Tamandua tetradactyla: one gene and its partners. The protein of the gene in region 1 purifies or fractionates together with the protein of each later gene. This does not show direct contact. Links are inferred from orthologs where the notes say so. Each region holds a gene or a part of one and is shown in the gene's direction. Other genes may lie near its edges.

Region 1 (7,959 bases):
CCGTACAGCTCAGGCCAGGCCCGGGCCCTGCAGCTCTCCCTGCTCCCTCCTGGATATGCCTCCTGAGGTGGGGGTAACCCAGGAGGGCTTGCATTCTGCCTGGGTTTGCACTCAAGGCTCTGCCCTACCTCACTGGCGCCTCTAGGAGCCTCGGTGTCCTCTTCTGTGCAATGGGGAGAACAATGGCTCCGAGCTCCTGGAGCTGTGTCTAGACCAGTGCCCCTCACCGGGGCCCCAGTCCTGGGTGAGCTCTATCGCTGTGATTAGTTTTACAATAATTCTTTCAAGCTCTCTGATCGCAGACAATCTCGGCTCTGCCCGAGGTTTCTAACCCCCTCCAGTCTGGAATCAGATCTTTGGCTTCAGATTTCCTCCCGCCCTTTGCCCTCAAGGGCAGATCAAAGTCCCCGAATCCTTTCATCTTTTCTCACAAAACTTCTGGGATGTGGCTGAAGGAGGCCTGGGTGTGGGGGAAGGGGGCCTGGCTTTGCCTGTCAGTGACTCTGTGTGATTTCGGGAGACCATCTGTCCCTCTCTGGGCCTCTACCACAGCCTTAGGGGGTTGGGGTGAAGAGTCACTGAGTTTTTTGGCAGTTGACCTTTGCACCAGCCTAGGGATCTGCTGTCTTTTCTGCCTGTGACATCCCTGTTTCGTCTCCAGACTTTGGCACTTGCTCCTCAGGCTTCCTGGCTGGGCAGTAGCCAAAAGCCCCAGGCGAAGCAGCGGCAATCTGCAATCAGTGCTATCACGGGGATGTCCTCAGTCGGGCCCCACTTGCTGAGATGCACGTCTCCATCCCTCCCCGCTGGACACTGGAGGATGCGCTCACCTGCTCCTGGCTCCTTCTGACTCTCATGGGGCTGGTGATGCGTCCCCCCTGGCCTCACGCCCTGGGATACAGGCAGGTGCCCGTGTGCACACGCCCATGTAAGTCAAGAGCTCTGCCTCAGTCGGGTCCGCTGTGGCCTCCATCCGCACTGGGGCCTCATGTCTACCCTCCTTCTGCCCCTCAATCCATCCTCCACTCGGTGGCAGCCCCTGAAGGACACATCTCTCTGCACTCTCCTCAGGGCTCACCCCAACCCCCCTTCCCCTGGTTCCCAGCACATCCACTGTGTTGGGCTCCATCAGCCCCGCTCTGCTCGTAGTTCCAAACACTGCAGTGTTTCATACTGTTCCTTCTGCCTGGAACACCCTTCCAGTCCCATTTTCACCTGGCAGCCATTTCCTCGGGCTTCTCTTGCTGGATAACCCTCTCCTTTCACCAGCTGGGTTAGGGGCTCCTCTAGCCCCATGCTGGTCACACTTCCCAGCTTCTCCAGGCTGTGAGCTCCTCCAAACCTAGCCCAGACCCTGGTGTATAGTAGGTGCTCAATAAATACTGATTGAACGGAGGAAGGAGGAGTAAGGCTTAGCCAGGGTTTTGGGGGAGGGAACATTCCAGGTAGAGAGACCAGCAGGTGCCAAGGCCTCAGGGCACGATGGGGGAACAGCAAGGAGGCAGGCTTGGCGGAGCAAGGGAAGGAGTCCAGGGGCTGCATGTGAGGCCGGATGTGGCTGATGCACTGATGAATCAGACGTCTCTCTGTGAACCATGAAGTCCAGTGCCGTGGGAGGTGCCTAGCCCTTCCCCAGCCTCAGGCTGGAGCCTGCCCACCCCTCCACCCTATCCCCCAGCCCTGGGCTGGTGGCTACAGACAGACAACTCACAGCATACCATCTGGGGAATGACAGGGCTGGTCTGGAATTTCCCACTGAGTGCCTGTGATGGATCCAACCTCCTAGTAGATGTTCCAAGGGGCTGGGCGTGGCACGTAGATTGCCATTGGGCCCTGGGTGACATGTGGGCGGGACCCCTGACCTCATGTCACGGAAGGCTCTGGCCCATGGATCTGCCACCAGCCACATGGACCAGACCACACTGTCCATCCTACCCTCCCTTGGCTGTGGCTTGGATCAGGCTGCAGTGGGCGAAAGGGAAGAAGACAAAAAGTCCAGAGTCCACGGACTGCACACCACCAGCTCTCATCACCTCAACATCATCTGTCATCTGCTGGGTGCTCTGTGTTGGGAGATTGGCCCTGCTGGTGCCCCAGGCTTGGCCCCGGGCTGGGTATATAGTTGGTGGTCAGTAAATGTTTGCTGTCTATTGAGGATGATGGATAATTTGCTGGTGTTAAGCTATGAGTTGCTATTTTACTAACCAATAGACTATTTTAAGCAAAACAATGCTCAAAGAGACCCTTACATATGTCCAGGCCACACCAGCAACTCTCCCCTCAGCATACTCCTCAAGCTGGGAAGTTGGATTTTGCCCCCATTTTACTGGTGAGTAAACTGAGATCCAGAGAGGGCTGGGTCACATAGTCAGTGAATGAAAGGTCCGGAACTTTAACTCCCATCTGTGGATCCCAAGTCAGCATGTCCTCAAACAGCTGGGCCACGGTCCCTGCTGTCCGGGTGGCATCCCTGAGTGGACGTGGGGGTACACCTCCACCCCTCCAGCAGGAATGTGCAGGCAGCTCGTTCTGGAGACGGTGGCACTGACATAGGGCCTTGAAGGGTTGGGAAGCTGGAAATATGGGGCAAACATTTCTGACGGGGTCACAGTCTGAGCAAAAGGCCCAGAGAAACGGTTGAAACTAATGAGGGATCTAAACACTCTCAGCACTTCAGATACCCAATAATGAAACCATCGTACTGGCCACATCCTCCAAGGGCGCCTCTTGAGACCCTCAGCTGCTGAGCCGGGCTCTTGAAACCAGCGATGACTCCAGGTGGCAGCTGCGTCTATGCCTGCAGCACCAAGGCTTGTCCAAGTCAGCTGCCCCCTCTCACCCACGAGAGAGTGCAGGGCTATGAATAACGGTGACAGCCCCCACACACTGAGCACGCCTCACCTGGTTTCATCCTCATGCAAGCCCTCTGGGGGAAGCACTATCGTTTTGCAGATTGGCACAGTGCGTCTCAGAGAAATGGTATGCCCAAGGTCATGTAGGCGAGACGATGCAGTTAGGACCTGAACTCAGCTCCATAGGTGCAAAGCCTGTGCTTTTAAGCCCTCTGTCAGCATAGCCCCAGAAGAAGCCCAGAACTTTCTGTTAAACTCCTGGGGATGGATCCAGTGACACATTGGTAAGTATTTAACAACCTGCTCTCTCGGGTAAGAAACCTTGATTTGTAGCATTTGCCAATTTTCAGGGCGTAACTATTCCCACCATAGCTAATATCAAGCTACCGGCGTGACATCATTAAACATGGAGCTGGGAAGAGACGTACACCATTGGCTCTTGCCAGAGATGGACACAATTGGTAAGAACCAGCCTCTGCACACCACTGGATGAATATCCTACCTCTAGTCCAGTGTGGCAAAAGTAAAGCCTTTCAGCAATGTCTGAGGAGTGAATCAGGCCTGAGAAACCTGCTCCTCCAGCCAGGGGCCCACCAGGAGTTCGGGGAAGCTGCAATTAATCTTTAAAAGCGCAGCCATTTTTGCAGCCCAGGCTGGCTTCTGGCACTAACTCTGCTGCTGATTTGTGCTGGGACCTCGGCCACCCCCTACCCCTCTGGCCTCAGTTCACCAACCACAACAGCGACCATATTTTGAGCACTGCTGTGGCCACCTCACACTTAGTTCCGGGAGCCCTCGGTGGCCATGCTCAGTCCTGCCTTACAAGGAAGGGGACTGGGCTGGAGAAGGTAATGGGCTTGTACAAGGGCCCACTGCAGGTGGCAACCAGCTTAGATTTGCGCCCAGATCAGTCTGGCTTAAGGACTTGCTCATTCTTGGTCTCCTGGAAGCTATTTTATACCCTCAGGGCTTTGCGTCCCACATTCTAGGGCTCTCCCCAGCTCCTCTCAGCAGGGACCTCTTTCCGGGGGGAGAAGCCCATATCTGGTGACACTTTGATCTGGATGGGCCTTAGTTTCCCGTCTGTGAAATGGGAGAACTTTCAGAAGAGGAAAACAGTGGCAGGTATTTAAAACTGGATCCACTTGCCCCTGGTGCCATAATTCCAGGAGGTCAGGTGGGGAGCCAGTGGGAGTGATGGTGGGGGGTCTCCACTTGAAACAGGGCATGCTTGGAGCCTGGGCCAGGGGATGGGAGGGGTCAGGTGGGGTTGGAGAGTGGTTGGGGAGGCTTTGTGGCTTAAAGCAGAATTTCCTCAACGTCCCATTTCCTGCCCACTGCGTCCAGAGTTACTTAGCTTCTTTATTTACTTGGAAGTGTAACGGTCACGTAAATACCAGCTTCAGCCCCCTCCTAAGCGGTAGTATCATGAACTCCCTGGTCTGATGGGCTGCCATAGTTATAGTTTATTTTATACACATTAAAATGAATACAAATTTATTAAAAGTTTCTCCTCTCTGCACTGCCTCACCTGCCCAGGTCCCCACTTTCGGGAACAGTTCAAGGCAGGAGTCCAAGGCCTGGTTTCCTGTCTGGTGACCCCTTCTTGCCCTCAGTTTTGTCATCTGTAAAATGGGGATAATCATAGCACTGCCCCGCCCACCTTTTAGGAAAAGATCCTAGAGTCTCCTGGACCCTTGACATGGTGCCTGGCAAGAGATTGTGCTCCATTAGTGCCACTATTATTATCATTACCAATAATAACTGCGGGAGAGGAGGTCAGGAGGGTGGTAGGTAGGGTGGGTGGGTTGCGGGAATCAGGGAAGGCATTTTGCCCAGGGGGAGAATGGGGACCCTGTCACTGCACCGAGTGGGGGGCGTTCCTCTGTGCCCGAGGCCCCAGTCCACCCGGCTCCGCCACGACCCTGGCTTGGGCCGGCCATAGGTGTATCCCAGGTCACCGGCGGGAATCGGTCCCCGCGTGCTTCCTCCTTCCTCATCTCCCGGCGACCTGCCGGGCCCCTCCTCCGCGCTCGCGCTCCCTCCCCCTCTTCCCCTCCCCGGGCCACCGCCTCCTCGCCTCCTCCTCCTCCTCCCTTTCTCTTTCGGTCTGGCTCTCCCGGCCCGGAATCCATTCCGGCCTGGGAGCCGGAGCGGCCAGGCCGCTGTCTGTCCGACCCCGTGGCCGTGCGGCGGTCAGCCCTCCCGTGCGTCCGTCTGCCGGTGCGTGCGCCCGGCCGCCTGCCGGCCCAGGTGAGTGGCCCCCGCCTCTCCGCGGGCCCCCAACCCCGGCCGGCGTGGGGGAGCCGCCGCCCCGGGACCAGCCCGGCGTCGGTCGGCCGGGCCGCGGGGGGCCCCTGTCCCCCCTCCCGGGCCTCCCCGATCCCCCAGGCCGGGCCGCGGGGCCGGAGCGCACGGCGGGCGCGCGGGGACCTGCCGGCGCGGCCTTTTGTTAGGATGCCGCGGGGCGGGGGCGGGGCGGGGGCTGGGCGGGGGGCGCGGGGGTCCTGGGCGCGCAGGGACCCCCTTCCACGCACCCTCTCCCCGCGAGCCTTGCCCAGGGTCGGACGAGCGGGGCCCGAGCCTCCCGACCGGGTCTAGGCCAAATCTGAAATCTGAGCCTGTCGGCGCCGCCTCCGGCCCAGCTGCCCAGCCCGGAGCCCCCGGCCCAGGGTGGGGAGGTGAGGCCGCGGGAGGGGCTGCCGGGGACGGGGCACCGGGCCCTGGGCTCCGGGAGCCAGGACCTCCGGGTCCTCGTGGGGCCTGCGGTCAGGCCTGGGCCAGGCTAGGCTTGGTCCCGGCTGCCCCCAGCCCCCAGCCTCGCCCAGGGCAGGCCCAGCAGCCCACTGGCTGAGAAGTTGGCAGAAGTTTTGGGTGTCCTGCTGTCTGATGGGTCCATCTGCCTACCTGGACCAGGGATGAAGCTGAGCTGGGATGGGTCCTTGCCCAACTGTGTGTCTTCAGGCAAACTGCCTGCCCTCTCTGAGCCCGCATCCTCATCAGTGGCAGGTGGGCCTGGCTGCATTGCTGGGCTGGTGAGAGGATGGGAGATGTACAGAAGGGGCTCACCTCTGAGGTGTCAGTCCAACCTCTGGGACCTTCAGGCAGATCTGGGAGTGGGCAGAGCGTGTGTGGCCCTGGGCAAGGCTTCCTGGGCCTCAAGGGCTGACTGTGAATGGGGACAGTGGTCTCTGGGTCATCTGCCATGAAACCTGGTCCAGCCACGATGTCACGATGTCACTGGATGGGCCAGGCTGATCCTGGGGTGGGGGAGGGGCGGGGAGCACTGGCTGGGATACTTCTTGTCTCACTGGGTGACTTGGGCCACACACGCTTTGCCTCTCCAAGTCCCTGTATGCAAAACAGGGGTGCCAGGGGGTTCTATGAACTTCTGCACGTAGGTGCTCAATAAGTGAGCACTTTTCTCAATGAATGCTCTAAGAAAGGTGGGTGGGAGGGAGGTTGCTGACCCAATTGGGTCTCATATGCCCAGGAGAGTAGACTGGTCCTTGAAAATCTGCCTCATAACCTCTTGAGAAAGAAACACCCCAGCCTAGTCCTACCACCCAGCAGCTGTGTGACTTTAGGCGACTCAGTGCTCTCTCTGGCTCTGTTTTGCCAACTATAAAATGGGATGGCAGTTACGGCAGCCAGTGCCTTCTGTGAGATAGCAACTTTTATTTATCCTGTCTGCTGTTGGGGAAACTGAGGCTTAGAGGCGGAGAAGTGATTTGACCAAGGCCACACAACCGGGAACTGGGATTAGAACTCAGACCTTGAAGACCCCAGTCTGGCTGCCCTGGTACCCCTCCAGTGATGGGAGAGCAGGGGGTGCCTAGCACGGGGCCAGGCTCCTAGCAGTTTAGGGGAAGGCTTTGCCGAGGAGTGATTGAATGGAAGCCATGAGGCCCTTTTGGGCCTGCCAAGGTGATGTTGTCTTTCCACCCGCGGAAATGATTTATAGTGTGTCACTTCTATCAGCTGACTGACTGCCCAGGCCCTCCTGTGTGGCCCCTGGGCCTTTGCTCCTGAAGGCCTCCTGCCAGGGGTGCCTTCTCTGTAAGCTGCTTATCTGCCCATGCTCTTCAAGGCTTAGCTGACGGCCCACTCTGCTGGGAAGGACCCCCCACCCCCACCCCACCTCTCCCTGCCCCAGCCTCCTCCTGGAGCAGGAATGACCTCCGGTGCACTGCCTAGCTCCTGCTTTTGCTTGTTCCCTGATCGTGGCCTGGAGAGGAGGGCGTAAGGGGAGGTGTCTGGCTTCCCCAAGCTCCCCAGGGACCACGGAGGAGAGGGCTGCCGGGGCAAGCACCCCATCCTCCCGGTCCCTAGTTGACCCCACTTTCTCAAACCTTCCCAGATATAAGCACCCGTGACCCCATACTGAGCACCTACTATGAATTAGGAGCTTATGACTGAGGCTGAGCAGTGCTGTGATGGAGCTGGCAGTGGGAGCTGTGGGAGGCATCAGGAGGCTTCCAGGAGGTGGCGGGCCTGAGCTGAGCGGGCATCAGCAGTTCACCCAACAAAGCAGCAGAGACTGTTCTCTTTCTTCCTTTCTGCTCAGGCATCTCCCAGGTTTGGGGGAGAGATCAGCCTGGGTGGGTTCTTGCTGGGGGATTGTGAGCAAGTCCCTGGCGTCCCAGAAATTTGAGTCTGGAGGGGGAGCCAAATAGCAAACAAGTTGCCTAATAAATAAATAAATATACAAAACCACAGATTGTGATAAGGGCTGTGAGGGGAAGGCCTGGGGTGCAGAAGCATCTGGAAGGATACATGGAGAAGTTGGCCAGTTGTGGAGCTTGGGGAAGGGCGTGCCAGGCAGCAGGAACTGCATGTGCAAAGGCCCTGAGGTGGGGGAGTGTGGGCTGTTGAGGAGGAAAAATGGGAAAGCCTGTGATGCTGGAGCAGAGGGAATAAGGAGCAGATGAGAGGTAAAATAAGGGGGGTATGATCAGCAGGGCTGGATCACCAGGGCCTCGTGGGCCTTGTGGGCTTCGGGGAAGAGTTTGGTTTTCATGTTCCTGCAGGAGGCTAATTGGTGTCCCCTCTTTGCCCAGCCCCGTGCTAGGGGCCAGGCATACAGTGCTGCCCAAGGCACCCGGTG
Region 2 (7,263 bases), on another chromosome or scaffold:
TTCTACCACTGAACTACCCCTATGCTTATTTTTTATCTCCAAGTATGATTATTTCTACTTGGATTGTTATATTTATTTTTACGTGAAACACCTCAAGAAATTATGTGAAGGAATTTGGATAGGGAATATATGCATACATATTAATAGTAATTGAGATTTTGATGTTTCACAAAAATGGGGAGTTTCTTTTACAATTATTAGAACGTAAGACTTTATGAAGAAAACCTAATACCAATGAAAACATCCAAGGCAAGCATGGCTTTGTGATGACATGGTCATCTTTTTCATTAACATAAGAATATGTTCTAAGTAAAAAATGTAAGTTACACAGGGACTGAAATAAACTTGGGTGTTTAGAGACAGTAGACAACAAGAGATAAAGAATAGGTTCCTAATCTCTGAAGGCACATAGTCATGAGCATGGATGGGCTATGAAACTGAGTTGACATCTGCAAAGGTGGTTTAAGGCTCTGGGAAGTTATAAAATAAACAAATGTTGGGAATAAATGAAGTACACATGAGAAAATTTCATGCAAATATATAATCAATAAATGACGATATTTGAAAATAATGTCACTAAAAAAGAGTTGGTCTTATTGATATTTTTTTATTTGTAAAAATAATACATTCCTGCTTGAAAAATGTCATAGAAATGCAAGAAGTAAAAAGTTCAAATTCCCATCTATCTACCTCTTTGCATCAACCATTTCCCAGAGATAGGCATTTGTTGGGTGTGTATCCTACTAGCTATTGTCTACAAATTTTCTATTATGAATGTATATCTATGTATCTCATCTCTATTTGTAAATCTATTTCTAGATCTGTATTTTATGCCAAAGAAAGATAGGAAACACTTTGAACACCTGATATCCATTGTGGTGAAAACAGTTTTCGGGTGATGGGCTGTGTATGGAGAACATAAATAAGCCAGATAATTACAGGCCTTGTAACAAGTTCTTCTAAGAGATTAAACATCTATTAATAAATCCTTATTATCACCACTACCATAGGTATAAAGTATTTTACAGTTTACAGAGCACTCGTATGAGATTATCTCATTTGATTCTCATAGTAATCCTTGAAGTGAGCAAAGTAAGAGTTATTATTTTCATTTACAAATGAGAAAACTGATGTCCAATGTAATGAAAGGATTTGCTTAATATCACTCCAAATCCATGTTTCACCATATCAAGTCTGGCACTGGAAAAGTCAGTGGTATTATATTAAATGCACCAAGCATCATTTTGATTATTGTTACTTAAAACAAGAATTTTTTTCTATCATAGAAACATGCAAAAGTAGAGGATAGTAAAATGAACCTTTATGTATCTATCATCCAGCTTTCACTATTATTAACCATTTGCCAATTTTCATATATATTTTTGAATATATGGAGTCTAATGTGCCGGTGATGGTCGTGGAACCACATTTGGGATATATGAGGTGTAATTTGTTCAGTGGGCTTTGGTGATATACACAATGTATTGTGTGCACAAATGCCTAGAAGTAGCTGGAGATACGCAGAACCTTGTTATCATATTAAATTTGCTTGGGCTGTTGTGATGCCTGCTCATTTATGCTCTTATCACCTTTGGTTTCACCATTGTAACCCCAGTTCCTGACACAGTGTTGTTGAATGAATGTGTTTTATTTGCAGTTTCAATTTAGACAGCATGAAGTGAAGAAGATCGTGTATAGTAGTATAACCAACCTCTGCAGAATGCTTCTTGGTGTGTTTCAGGTGCTAATTATAGCTACGATCTGTGCGTACCAGGTGCTAGGTCCTATTCTAAGTGCCTTCATGCAGTAACTCATCTGATTCTGACAAAAACCCTGTGAAGAAAAAACCATTATGATCTTTTATATTTTGTAGGTAAGTAACCAGTAATTTGGTCAAATCACATGGATAGGAAGTGGGAGATCTTGGAGTCAAAGTCCAGGCAGTGTGGCCCCAGGATCTGTGCACTTAGCCACCTCTGTTTGTTGCTCCTGTGCAATAACGTGTCTGAATATCATCTACGGGGCATTGAACACATTTGGGGTATTTGGTAGGTGGTGGTCCTACCTGTACTCCTGGATCAACTCACAAAATCACTCCTTTGCACTGGTGCCAGAGAATGGGAGAGGGTTGCACATGGAACAGAACTTTTAATTTATTTTAAACAGACTTTCTCATTTTTCATGAACACAAGGCACTTCTAAGTGCTGTGTAGGAGGGAATGTGGCAGAATGATTTCATTGAGACCCTGCCAATTTCTGGTCTTGCAACCATCAAAGACGCATCATTTCCTCAAAGACTTCTAAAGGGGGCTATTACCATGTGCCTGCAGGTTCTGGTTTGCATTTGGAGGAGACACTATCTTCCTAAGTGAGACATGGAAAAGGAAGTGTCACAAATTGTAAATAAGGTTAAGAGGCTGAGAGAGAACAATTGTTTGGACGTAAAGATGGAGAAAAATTTTCTCCAAACCAGGTACCATCTCTCTCTCTCTCTTGGCTGATTCTTTCAGAGTCCATCTTGTTTTACTTGCTAAATTTATTAGTGGGAAGAACGGAATTTTTTAAAGAATTTTCCCACAACTGCCCAAGCATGAAAACAAAATAAAAACCTCCTAGATAAATATTAGTACATCTATTCAATGTAACACCATTCCACCATTAAAAAGAATGAGATGCAGCTCTAAGGGTTAATAGAGAATGCTCTCCAAGGTATACTTTTATAAAGTGAAAACAGTCAAGGCTCAAAACAGCATTTGTACCAATGCTATCATTTATGGAAAAAAAAGGGTGATTAATCTACATATGTTCATATGTGCATAGAATTTGCTTGGAAAAAGGAAACCAGTTAAAAAGCTTGCCATTGGTGAAGGACGGTCTTTTCACTCTAAGCCTTTTTGTATTTTTCAAAATACTTTTAACCATATATACTAGTTATATTTCAAAAAAAGTTAAAATATTTCGATTGTCAACTTGGAAATAGAAGAGCAAGCAAATATTTTTAAAAAGTGGAAGAAAAGCAACATTTTAATTGTGTTTTTCAGGAGGAGGGTTTGGGACCAGATGTAGGGTCAAACAGTAATTCTACCTCTCCATCTCGCTGAAGGATGGTCCTTTCAGTTCCCATTCCTGGGAAGTAAGAGGCAGAGGGATTAGGGAGATCTTGATTTAATGAAGTTAGGGGGCATTTCATGTCACTCCCCAGGTGTGGGAAGAGATGGATAGAAAACAAGAAGGAACAATGAGGGCGGAAAAGAATGGTAGCTTCCCTCCAACCATCCAAGAAATGTACATCTGTGGTGAGAGTCGTGAGCTTTGTCCATGGAGTGTCCAGAGTACCTACCTAGCTAGGAACTTTCACTTAATTGCTCTCAGCAGAGGCTGGCCTGCTATACTTCCTTTCCCTCGGCCTCAGGGTATCTTGGCTTGGAAGTTCTCCTTTGAAAAGGGGCCTGGCCAAGGACCCAAGAAGAGTCACGCTGGGGACTGGCCGGTTAACAGGGTGGACAAAAGCCCTTTCTCAAGGAGAACCTTACGAGAGAGACGGGTGCCCCTCACGCCTTAGGTCCACCCAAGCTGGGTACCTCCACCTCCTGTGAGCCCTGATGTAGGTTTCTGGCCTGGAGCTAGGCAGGACCAAACGTGATGCTTGCAAGCTTAAATGCCTTCTGGGGCTCCGCAGTTAACTTCAAAATACTTGAAGTCGCCAGGTATAAGAGGAAATGGCAGGAACTTTTTGACTAGGAAAATGTATTTTCTGACTAACAGCATTCATATCCAGACTTTTAAACTGTGCAACTGTGCTGGCCAAACAAAATATTTCTAACTGGCTGGAGTCAGTGCCAGTTTGCGACCCCGGCTTAATATCCGCTTCTGGCTGCTTGCTCCAAACTGCGCTCAACCTCAGCTGGTCTCGCAGTTAGTTTAGAAGCGCGCTACAGCGCAAGGGTCTCGAACTTTGACGCTCGGAGCCGGTTACTGGCTTCATGTTACTTCCACCAGAAATGGAGTTGTCGCGCCCAGGACATTCTCTCCCGGGCGACTCGAGGTCTGCGTAGTCCTGTGCAGGTTGGGAGGGGAGCTGTAGTGGGCGTGGCGAGCCCGGGATCCCAGCGAGCGAGCCGGGGGAACACCAGATCCTGCGAGGTGAGGGGCGGGGCCGACAACAGAGGGGCGCCCCCCCCCAGATCCCGCCCTACCTGGCCCCGCCCCCCGCGCTCTAGAGTTTCGGCCCCAGCTCGCACCCGGCACTGAGTCCTAAGACACCGCAGAGCAGGCGGTGTTCTGCCGCTGCGTTCTCTCCACCTGCACAGGGCGTAACTGGCGTGCTGCAGAAAGCTCAGCCGGTCCCGCAGGCGGGATATTCTTTCCACCAGCTCCCGCACAGGTCTTGCCAGCCGCGCGGGGAGCCGGGGCATCCTCGCCGAGTGCGCTTCGGGGTCCTGCTCTGCGGCGCGCGTCCCGGCTCCGCGCTTTGGTGGCCGGGCAGGCCCCGGGCAAGAGAACCGACTCCCGAGTTCTGGGCACCGCGCTGGGCTCGAGGTGCAGGATGAAGAACAAGGCGCTGCTGACCATCGTGCTGTGTCTGTGCTTGGAGACCCGGGCTGTCCCCGTGGGTAAGGACCCCACTCCATGGGAGGGAGCCGAGAGGTCGGGTGCGGGTGGGTGGATGCGGATGCGGGGAGGATCTGGAGACCGATCTAAGTTTGAATCATAGAGCTGGAGAGTTGGGAGAAACTGACACATTTGTGCTGTTCCTTTTACCCAGCGGGGAGATAGACTCACAGACTGGCCCAAGATTGCCCAGCGAGGTGGTCTCCCGAGCTCTAGCGGTGTCTTTTCCAAGGCTCTGGTGTCTGACCGGGACCTCGGCTGGAGCGTGTACTGCGGGGCCGACGCACCCTCGGGCTCCTTGGCGGCGGGGCGGGAAGGCGCCAGGGGCTGACTGGCAGAAGTTACCCCGGCAGGCGGGAACACACAGTGAGAAGCTGTCCGACTGTGCGAACCGTTCTGGGGGGGACCCCGGCGGGCTTGCCAGTCCGGGAAGGAAGCCTTGCTAGGGGAGTAAGTCCTGCGGTACAGCTCACACAGTGCCCTCCGCTCTACCTCGGTGGGAGTGAAACGGGGCCACCGGCTGCCTGTTCCCTCTTCTCTCGGACAGGCACAGCCACTGTATGAGGTGGCGGGGTCCGGGAAGAGGGAAATTTTTACTCTCCATGGAGCAGGACGCCGCTCTTCTTGCAGAAAGGGGTGGGGTGTTGGGGTCTTGGTCCCGGACCCTGTCAGCTTCCCCAAGTGACTAAGCGACAACCCCCTTCCTAGGTAAAGCAGTGTTAACGTCTTTCTAAGCATTTTGGCTCCTAGGTAAGCGCAGGGTCTACCCTGTACCCAGATTTAGCGCCACTTAACATTGCGGTCCCCTTCTAGATTAGGAACCCATAACGTGCTGGATGCAATAGCTGTGTGTGTGTGTGTGTGTGTGTGTGTGTGTGTGTGTGTGTGTGTGTGCGCGCGCGCGCGCGCGCGCCCAGTTGATATTCTTTCTCCATAGCCACAGTTTACTGAGTCCCAGATTCTGTGTCTTGGAAGAGAAGGGGAGAGGGCGGAGAAAAGCAAAATCAGATGATCCAGGGACCCAACTCCTACAGAATGAATCATGTGCCCCTTATGTTGGGGTGACCACTGATGTACTTTCTTACCTCTTTTTTGAAAGGGAGAGAAAATTACTTTTAAGTGCCATCTTATACTTTGTATCAGCCAGTGCTGGAGAAATCGTGAATAACGTATGTACAAAACTTTTTTTTTTTTTTAATTTTCTATTATTTTGAAATTCTGCCTCTTTGGATTTGGGGAACACTGGCTACCCCATCTCTACAGTCTGGGCTGGCAGAATGCTGATGTTTTACAATTCTTTTCCCCACTCAGTTCCCCTCTTCTGGTGAGGTTCCTGTGAGCTCTGTTAGATGGGCATCCTGAAGCTTGTTAAAATGTACCCTCCGTTGGTGCGGTCTCTTTTGGGGGCAGATTGGGAGAAAGAGAAACCAATAATGCAACTGTTTTGATAGAAAAAATTGATAAAATGTCTTTTTGAAGTAAAGAACCAGTCCCTCTAAAAATAATAATAATAATAATTCAGGGGAAAAAATTCTTATAACGATAGAAAAAAAACACACTTAAAGAAGGCACGAGCTCAGTACTAAGATCATCTGTCCATGGTTATTGAATTTTCTTAATCGTGACTTACTTGGTTCTCCAAGCTTAGCTGTGTCACGGCCACTCATTTGTCCCTGACAAGGCCTCTCTCTCCCCCCTTATGGGAAGAGAATGAAGATCTGGAGCTTGTGGTTGGTCTGTAGCCCATAAAGAAGTGAGTTGCTTTTAAGCCTGGGGTGTTTCATAGCACAGCTGTAAGTAACTGCTGAATATAATGGTGGGGTTGCCCTTTTGGAGTGTGTGACTTACTTAATTGGATTGGGCTATAATTGGTGCCATCAAATTCTAGAGACAGAGGCACTGTTGTTTTTCCTTTCTGTCTCGAAGCTGGGGAGGGTAATAGTGCACAATTTAATTAATATGGGTTATGGGATTTGAACATAGAAGGGCTTTTTATTGAGCATATGTATCTCTTATAGCCATTTCTGTAGGATATTTTCTGAAGAATAGGACTCAAACTTGCCAAGGAAAAATGAATGAAAGTTAATGGAGCAAAGAAAAAGAAAAAACTTGAGTGTTGGTCTACAGATAAGAACTTGAAGTTATCATTATTGCTGGCCTTGTTGAATAGATTTTTGTTGTAGACAGGTCTCTAGAACAGTACAGTGTTGTCTTAACTTCTTATAGAAAAATGTCATGGAAAAGGTTTTTTCTCTCTCTTTTTAAATTTGTTTTCTTTTTTTTTTTGAATACTCTGGGGACTTTTTAAAAATTATTTTTGTATAGGAAGATGTGTCAAGAATGTGAGATGATCTGTGGCAATAATATATAAAAGATCTTCAAAATTCTCTTATTTTGATGGGGGGAAGGCTGTCATAGCTTATTTAGAGCCTTGATACTACTCCCATTTTATTCTCACACAAATGTGCCCAAATAATGAATTATTTCCTATTTGAATTATCATGTGAGTTGTATTCAGTTGTTGTTATTGACATTTTTCTCAAGCTCGCATTTCCCAGTCAAATTTGAAACTTTTGCTCATTCAGATGAAATGTTTTCATTTTCATTTTCTTTGGAAAATGGGCTCCCTTATTGGAAGGCTTTTTTTCTTTT
Region 3 (7,607 bases), on another chromosome or scaffold:
ACATACAGGAACTGACACAATTAATTCAGAATGTACGAACAGACATGGAAAACCTCATCAAAAACCAAATCAATGAATTGAGGGAGGATATAAAGAAGGCAAGGAAAGAACAAAAAGAAGAAACTGAAAGTCTGAAAAAACAAATCACAGAACTTATGGGAATGAAAGACACAGTAGAAGAGATGAAAAAAACAATGGAAACCTACAATGGTAGATTTCAAGAGACAGAACATAGGATTTCAAAACTGGAGGACGGAACATCTGAAATCCGACAAGAAACAGAAACTATAGGGAAAAAAAAAAGGAAAAATATGATCAGGGACTCAGGGAATTGAAAGACAATATGAAGCTCATGAATATATGTGTTGTGGGTATCCCAGAAGGAGAAGGGAAGGGAAAAGGAGGAGAAAAACTAATGGAGTAAATTATCACTGAAAATTTCCCAACTCTTATGAAAGACTTAAAATTACAGATCCAAGAAGGGCAGCGTACCCCAAAGAGAATAGATCCAAATAGACATATTCCAAGACATTTACTAATCAGAATGTCAGAGGTCAAAGAGAAAGAGAGGATCTTGAAAGCAGCAAGAGAAAAGCAATCCATCACATTCAAGGGAAGCCCAATAAGACTATGCACAGATTTCTCAACAGAAACCATGGAGGTGAGAAGACAGTGGGATAATATATTTAAATTATTAAAAGATAAAAACTGCCAACCAAGAATTCTATATCCAGCAAAACTGTTCTTCAAAAATGAGGGAGAAATTAAAACATTTTCAGACAAAAAACCACTGAGAGAATTTGTGACCAAGAGACCAGCTCTGCAAGAAATACTAAAGGGAACACTAGAGACAGATATGAAGACAGAAGAGAGAGGCATGGAGAAGAGTGTAGAAATGAAGACTATGAGTAAAAGTAAAAAGAAGGAAAATTAGATATGACATATAAAATCCAGAAGGCAAAATAGTAGAAGAAAGTACTACCCATGCAGTAATAACACTGAATATTAATGGTTAAACTCTCCAATCAAAAGACACACTCTGGCAGAATGGATTAAAAAACAGGACCCATCTATATGCTGTCTCTACTCAAAGGACACAAGGCCAAGGACACAAATGGACATTTACACACCAATATTTATAGCAAAATTATTAACAATTACCAAGAGATGGAAACAGCCAAAATGTCCATCAACAGACAGTTGACTAAACAAACTGTGACATTTACATAAGATGGAATATTATGCAGCTGTACGACAAAATAAAGTTATGAAGTATGTAACAACATGAATGGACCTTAAGGACATTATGCTGAGTGTGATTAGCCAGAAACGAAAGGACAAATACTGTATGGTCTCACTGATATGAACTGACATTAGTGAATAAACTTGGAATATTTCCTTGGTAACAGAGACCATCAGGAGATAGAAATAGGGTGAGATATTGGGTAATTGGAGCTGAAGGAATACAGATTGTGCAACAGGACTGAATATAAAAACTCAGAAATGGACAGCACAATACTACCTAACTGTAATGTAATTATGTTAAAACACTGAATGAAGCTGCATGTGAGAATGACAGAGGGAGGAGGGCTGGGGACATAAATAAAATCAGAAAGAAAGATAGATGTTAAAGATCGAGATGATATAATCTTAGGAATGCCTAGAGTGTATAATAATAGTGAAATGTACAATGTACAAATTTTAAAAATGTTTTTGCATGAGGAAGAACAAAGGAACGTCACTATTGCAGGGTGCTGAAAACAGATGATAATACTTAAAAATATCACCTTATGTGTGAGACTAAAGCAAAAAATGTTTGTTACAAAATTTATATTTCGACTAGAGCATTTCCTAATATAACTCGTGTAGATAGTTTGATTGAATGTCATAAGTACTTGGAATCTCAGGTAGGACATGAGATTTCGTTGGTTTGTCCAGAGTGATGCCCCGATGAATCCCAGAGTGATTTGATCAGTGACTGGAAATGTATTTGCAAGCCCCCTTCGGGGAATGGTGAGAGTGGGGAGAAATTCAACTTCCCCAAGTTGAATTCTTGATATTCTCACAAGCAGTGTGGACAACCAAAGCCATAGGCTGAGCCCCCAGTCTTGGGGTGTGTTCATATGAAACTTAACCCCACAAAGGATAGGTCAAGTCTGCTTAAAATTTAGGCCTAAGAGTCACCCCCAAGAGAGCCTCTTTTGTTGCTCAGATGTGGTCTCTCTCTCCAGCCAACATGACGAGCAGTCTCACCACCCTCCCCCTCTCTGCATGGGACATGACTCCCAGAGGTGTGGACCTTCCTGGCAACGTGGGACAGAGATCCTGGAATGACCTGAGACTCAGCATCAAGGGACTGGGAAAACCCTAGAATAAGCTGAGAATTAACATCAAGGGATTGAGAGAACCTTCTCGACCAAAGGGGGAAGAATGAAATGAGACTAAGTGTCAATGGCTGAGAGATTCCAAACAGAGTTGAGAGGTTATCCTGGAGGTTATTCTTATTCATTAAGTAGATATCACCTTGTTGTTCAAGACGTAGCGGAGAGGCAGGAGGGAACTGCCTGAAAATGTAGAGCTGTGTTCCAGTAGCCATGTTTCTTGATGATGATTGAACAATGATATAGTTTTCACAATGAGACTCTGTGAATGTGAAAACCTTGTGTCTGATGCCCCTTTTAGCTACTATAGCAACAGAAGAGTAGAACATATGGAATAAAAATAAATAATAGGGGGAACAAATGTTAAAACAAATTTAGTTTGAAATGCTAGTGGTAAATGAAAGCGAGGGGTAAGGGGTATGGTATGTATAATTTTTTTTCTCTGTTATCGTTTTATTTCTTTTTCTGTTGTCTTTTTATTTCTTTTTCCAGATCGATGCAAATGTTCTAAGAAATGATGAACATGCAACTATATGATGATATTAAGAATTACCGATTGTATATGTAGAATGGAATGATATCTTAATGTTTTGTTTAATTTTTTTAATTAATAAAAAAAGTTAAAAAATAAATAAAAATAAAAAAGGGACTCTCTCCAAAATGTTTCCTTTTTAAAGGATTCCAATGAACTAATCAAGACCCACCTGGAATAAGTACAGTCACAACTCCATGGAAGCCATCTAATCAAAAGTTACTACCCACAATTGGGAGGGTCACAGCTCCATGGAAACAATCAAAACGCTCTCACCCAGCAATACTGAATGAGAATTAAAGGACATGGCTTTTCTGGGGTCCACCACAGATTCAAACCAGCACAGGCCTCCTCCATTGTGAATCCCAAACACTGCCGCCATGAACCCCAGGGTACGATGTCCATTCCTGTACCCACACTCAGTTCCTCCAGGTATATATTGAGCAATAGCATTGAAGGATCATATGGCAACCCCACCCCTAGCCTCCTGTGGAACCACCAGTTATATTCCTTTGTTAAACCCTATCTTCTCTGTTATAATTCCTCCTTCTCCTTTGATCTTTCTTCCAGTCTTTAAGGGTATTTGGGCTAAGCCCATTCTAACTTTTTCATGTTGGAAAAGGCTGTCAATAATATGGGACATGGGGATAGAACTAGTCGATGTTCTGGAGAGGCTAGGCTCTCTGATTTCAGGACTTATCTGGCGTAGGAACCAGGAGGGTGTAGGTTTCTGGAAAGTAATCTCAGTTAGAGCCCTAGGTGTTCTTTAGGGTAAACAGGAATGGTTTTGGTTTGGGTTTGGCATACCATGGCAATTAGCTATATCTAGCAGAAATTTGCATAAGAGTAGTGTTCGGAATAGCCTCTTAACTCTATTTCAACACTCTTAGTCACTGATATTTTATTTTGTTACATTTCTTGTCCCCCTTTTGGTCAGGAAGGCATTGCTGATCCCATGTGCTAGGGCCAGGCTCATCCCTAGGAGTCATGTCCCACCTTGTCAGGGAGACTCACCCCTGGATGTCATGCCCCACATAGAGGAGAGGGTAATGAGTTTACTCACAGAGTTTAGGAGATGTATTTTTTTTTAAGTTGTTTTATTCACACACCATACAAGCTAACCAACATGGGCAATCAATGGCTCACAGTATACTTTCAGAGTTGTACGTTCGTCAACACAATTTTGGAGCATTTTCATTACTGCTAAAAAGGAAAAAAAAATCCATGCCCTTTTGAGACCCCTATGATTGACACTTAGCTTCAGTGTGGTACCTTTCTCACAACTCATGGAAGAATCGTAATTACTGCTAACTATAGCGCATAATTTGCATCGGGTGTATTTTTTCCGTTTATGCCACCCTATTCTTAACTCTTTGTAACAGTGACTTTCTTATTCATGGAAAAACATTCTTCTATTTATATCATTAATCAAGTCATCGTCCACAACTGTGTGTTTTACAATCCCATGTTTAGGGTCATGTGTGGCACTACAAGGAAACCTAGAGGATGAAACAAGAGGAGCCCTTTCAAACCCTTAGTCGCGTTAGCTTCAGAAACTACTTGTACGGCTCTGTCAAATTATGGAGGGAACCATGATGCCCTGTGCTCTAAATGGCGCCGCCATCTTTGACGGAAGTGACTCGCGGGAGCCGCCATTTTGGCCGGGCGGGAGGTTATTTCCGGTTCCGGTGGCGCGGTGCTCTTCCTTTTTCACGGCGGGGCAGTGGCTGTCTCGGTTGTGGTTCTCGGCTCTCCGGACCATCCGGTGCCATCCTCGTCGCTGCGGCGACCTCGACACCCGCCGCCGCCATGACTGAGCAGATGACTCTCCGTGGCACCCTGAAGGGCCACAACGGCTGGGTGACCCAGATCGCTACTACTCCGCAGTTCCCGGACATGATCCTGTCAGCTTCGCGAGGTACGAGCTGAGGTGCGGGGGCCGGGTGGGGACGGCGTTCGCTCGCGGCGGACCCAGGGCCCCACTCCGTCCGGTGTAACTCCGCGCGCCGCCCGCGTTTTGCAGAGGGGGACGTGACTCGGCCCTTGGCCTGCGGGAGCATTGGCGGGGGTGGGGGGTGTCCCATTTCCTGTCCCTCGGGGCCCGGGCGGAGCGGTGATGATCCCAACATGCCATCTGAGCGCCCGTGCTGAGACCCAGAGGCTGTTTCTGAGCTGCCGCCGGGCCCTGCTAGGGAGGGGTGGGCTCACAGGGGCCTCGTGCCCGTCCGCCCTGCCCTTTGCCCCCTCGGCCCTCCTTGGCTTTTGCCCTCCCTGTGGGCCCGCAGCGTCGGGGGCTTCCCGTGCCTTCTGAGAGCGCCCAGGTGGTTAGGAGGCAGCTGGGACTCGACCTGCTGCTGGTGCTTAGTGGTGAGCCTTAGTGCCGGGCACGCGCGTGCAGGAAAGCCTGCGGGCTGGCAGCGCCCGAGCAGCATTTCCAGCGGTTGCAGAAAGGTCCACAAGTCGTTAGAGCTCAGACCAGATAGGAGATAAATGTCTTAATGGGTTCGGGTCCCAGAAAAGGACATCCGTCGTCGCATTCGGAGTTCTGTACACCTGACGGAATCTCATGCACAGCTTGGCCTTACTCTGGGTTAGTGAACTTGTCTTGGCTTGCGGACTCCCTTCCCCCTCACCTGACTCTAATTTGTCATTTTGTGAGCCCTCTGTGACCTTGAGATGTCCGGGTTAGCCCGTAGGTCAGTGAGGAGGCTGGAGACCGGCAGGATGGCGAGGATTGAGGCGGCTGAGTGTCCATTTCGGTTTTCTCTCTAGACAAGACCATCATCATGTGGAAGCTGACCAGAGACGAGACCAACTATGGTATTCCCCAGCGTGCTCTGCGGGGTCACTCTCACTTTGTCAGTGATGTGGTCATCTCCTCGGATGGCCAGTTTGCCCTCTCAGGCTCCTGGGATGGAACCCTGCGCCTCTGGGATCTCACAACGCAAGTAGCTGCTCACTTAGACCTGGGGCCTTGGGGAAGAGCTGGGCAAAGTGAAGTAGAGGTGGTAGGGAGAAGTGGGTAGAGTAAAGGAGGTCATGTCGGGGTTACTCACCTGAGTCTTGCTGGGGAGCGGTCTGAGTATCTTGGCCTGGCACCTCGGTGTGGTTGGGCACGTGGCAGGGGTCATGGAGGACCCTGGTGATGACAGACGACATTGTCCACCTATCCCCATGGGGCATGAGGACATGTCCTGCAATTCTGAGGGGGTTCTCTCGCATAGACTCAGCCAGGGACTTGTGGTCGGGACTGTGTGTGGCATTGGGGGGTAATTCACCACTGAGACAGGACATGACGAAACTGTGGAGAGACCGTTTGCAGGCTCTGCTTAGAGAGTGACCATGTCCTCCCTCCCAGGGGCACCACCACACGCCGGTTTGTAGGCCACACTAAGGATGTGCTGAGTGTGGCTTTCTCCTCTGACAACCGGCAGATTGTCTCTGGCTCCCGAGACAAGACCATCAAGCTGTGGAACACTTTGGGAGTCTGCAAGTACACAGTCCAGGTAAAGCAGAGGCATTGGTCGGGAGCCTGGTGCAGGTGTTGGAGCTCCTCCTCTTCCATTTCTCCTTGTCTTATGCCAGGAGCCTAAAAGTTCTGGGGAGGAGGATATAAGGCTGCCGACACCCACCCCACACGGCTGAGGGAAGGCTGGGGCAGTTAGAATTTTATGTCATGGGATGGTTTCCCTTTGCTTCCTTTCCATCTGTAGGATGAGAGCCACTCAGAGTGGGTGTCTTGTGTCCGCTTCTCGCCCAACAGCAGCAACCCCATCATCGTTTCCTGCGGCTGGGACAAGCTGGTCAAGGTGCGCTTGGGGCCAGGGGACAGGTGGGTGTGGGCTCCAGCTCTGAATACTTTGTAGGTTCCTTTAATTGACTTTTTTTCCTTTGGCTGTTGTTTTTCCAATTCCGGCCATAAATTTCTGGTATTAATAGCAAGAGGGGAAAAGTATGGAGTAGTTTGAGCCCAGAGCCTTTGTAAGACTCCACACAGCATTTAGTAACTGTTTTAAAACCCAGTTGTCTTTAAGTGGCCAAGAGAAATTCTTCAACCTCTTTTTACTGATAAATGATGGTCATTCCTCCCAGGAATGTTTTCAAATAAGGTATCATGTTAGGCCCCAAGCCGGCTTCCTCACCTGTGGGTCCTCTGCCCCTCTTTTTAGGTATGGAACCTGGCTAACTGTAAGCTGAAGACCAACCATATTGGCCACACGGGCTACCTGAACACTGTCACTGTCTCTCCAGATGGATCCCTCTGTGCTTCTGGAGGCAAGGTATTCAGGAGCCAGGGGCCTCCTACTCTTAAAGTGGGGGGTGGGGGAGGCTGAACATGCCTTTCGCAGGGGACACTTTGAGGCGTTTGCTTACAGGAAGCTTGGGAAAGGGGGTAGGGGGGCTTAAGAGTTGATTAGGACAAAACATTGGGAAATGGAGTTGATTTCCGGGAACAGTCACAGTGACCCAGTGGTGTCTTCCAGGATGGCCAGGCCATGCTGTGGGACCTAAACGAAGGCAAGCACCTCTACACGCTGGACGGCGGGGATATCATCAATGCCCTCTGCTTCAGCCCCAACCGCTACTGGCTCTGTGCTGCCACGGGCCCCAGCATCAAGATCTGGGTGAGTGTGAATACAGTTCAGACTGAGTGCCTGGCTGTACTTTGGAAGTCCTGCCAGTGTGATGGTTAC

Evidence for each region. The genes of interacting proteins can lie anywhere in the genome.
Region 2: the proteins of SRC (region 1) and KDR purify together in Homo sapiens (co-immunoprecipitation; 5 studies listed by BioGRID and IntAct, with this or other methods). This does not show direct contact. The link is inferred for Tamandua tetradactyla from reciprocal best matches to the Homo sapiens genes SRC and KDR.
Region 3: the proteins of SRC (region 1) and RACK1 purify together in Homo sapiens (affinity purification with western blotting; 4 studies listed by BioGRID, with this or other methods). This does not show direct contact. The link is inferred for Tamandua tetradactyla from reciprocal best matches to the Homo sapiens genes SRC and RACK1.

What each region holds. Positions count from the first base shown.
Region 1 is NC_135327.1:14,867,419-14,875,377, reverse strand, and holds the start of SRC (proto-oncogene tyrosine-protein kinase Src), read left to right. Parts: upstream 1-4,953; 5' UTR 4,954-5,105; intron 5,106-7,959. UniProt on the Homo sapiens protein: Non-receptor protein tyrosine kinase which is activated following engagement of many different classes of cellular receptors including immune response receptors, integrins and other adhesion receptors, receptor protein tyrosine kinases, G protein-coupled receptors as well as cytokine receptors.
Region 2 is NC_135345.1:55,464,964-55,472,226, reverse strand, and holds the start of KDR (vascular endothelial growth factor receptor 2), read left to right. Parts: upstream 1-4,262; 5' UTR 4,263-4,546; coding exon 4,547-4,613; intron 4,614-5,760; exon of another isoform or gene 5,761-5,780; intron 5,781-6,385; exon of another isoform or gene 6,386-6,404; intron 6,405-7,263. UniProt on the Homo sapiens protein: Tyrosine-protein kinase that acts as a cell-surface receptor for VEGFA, VEGFC and VEGFD. Plays an essential role in the regulation of angiogenesis, vascular development, vascular permeability, and embryonic hematopoiesis.
Region 3 is NC_135346.1:3,339,122-3,346,728, reverse strand, and holds the start of RACK1 (small ribosomal subunit protein RACK1), read left to right. Parts: upstream 1-4,606; 5' UTR 4,607-4,722; coding exon 4,723-4,831; intron 4,832-5,020; exon of another isoform or gene 5,021-5,088; intron 5,089-5,685; coding exon 5,686-5,857; intron 5,858-6,048; exon of another isoform or gene 6,049-6,126; intron 6,127-6,271; coding exon 6,272-6,419; intron 6,420-6,626; coding exon 6,627-6,722; intron 6,723-7,082; coding exon 7,083-7,193; intron 7,194-7,397; coding exon 7,398-7,538; intron 7,539-7,607. UniProt on the Homo sapiens protein: Scaffolding protein involved in the recruitment, assembly and/or regulation of a variety of signaling molecules. Interacts with a wide variety of proteins and plays a role in many cellular processes.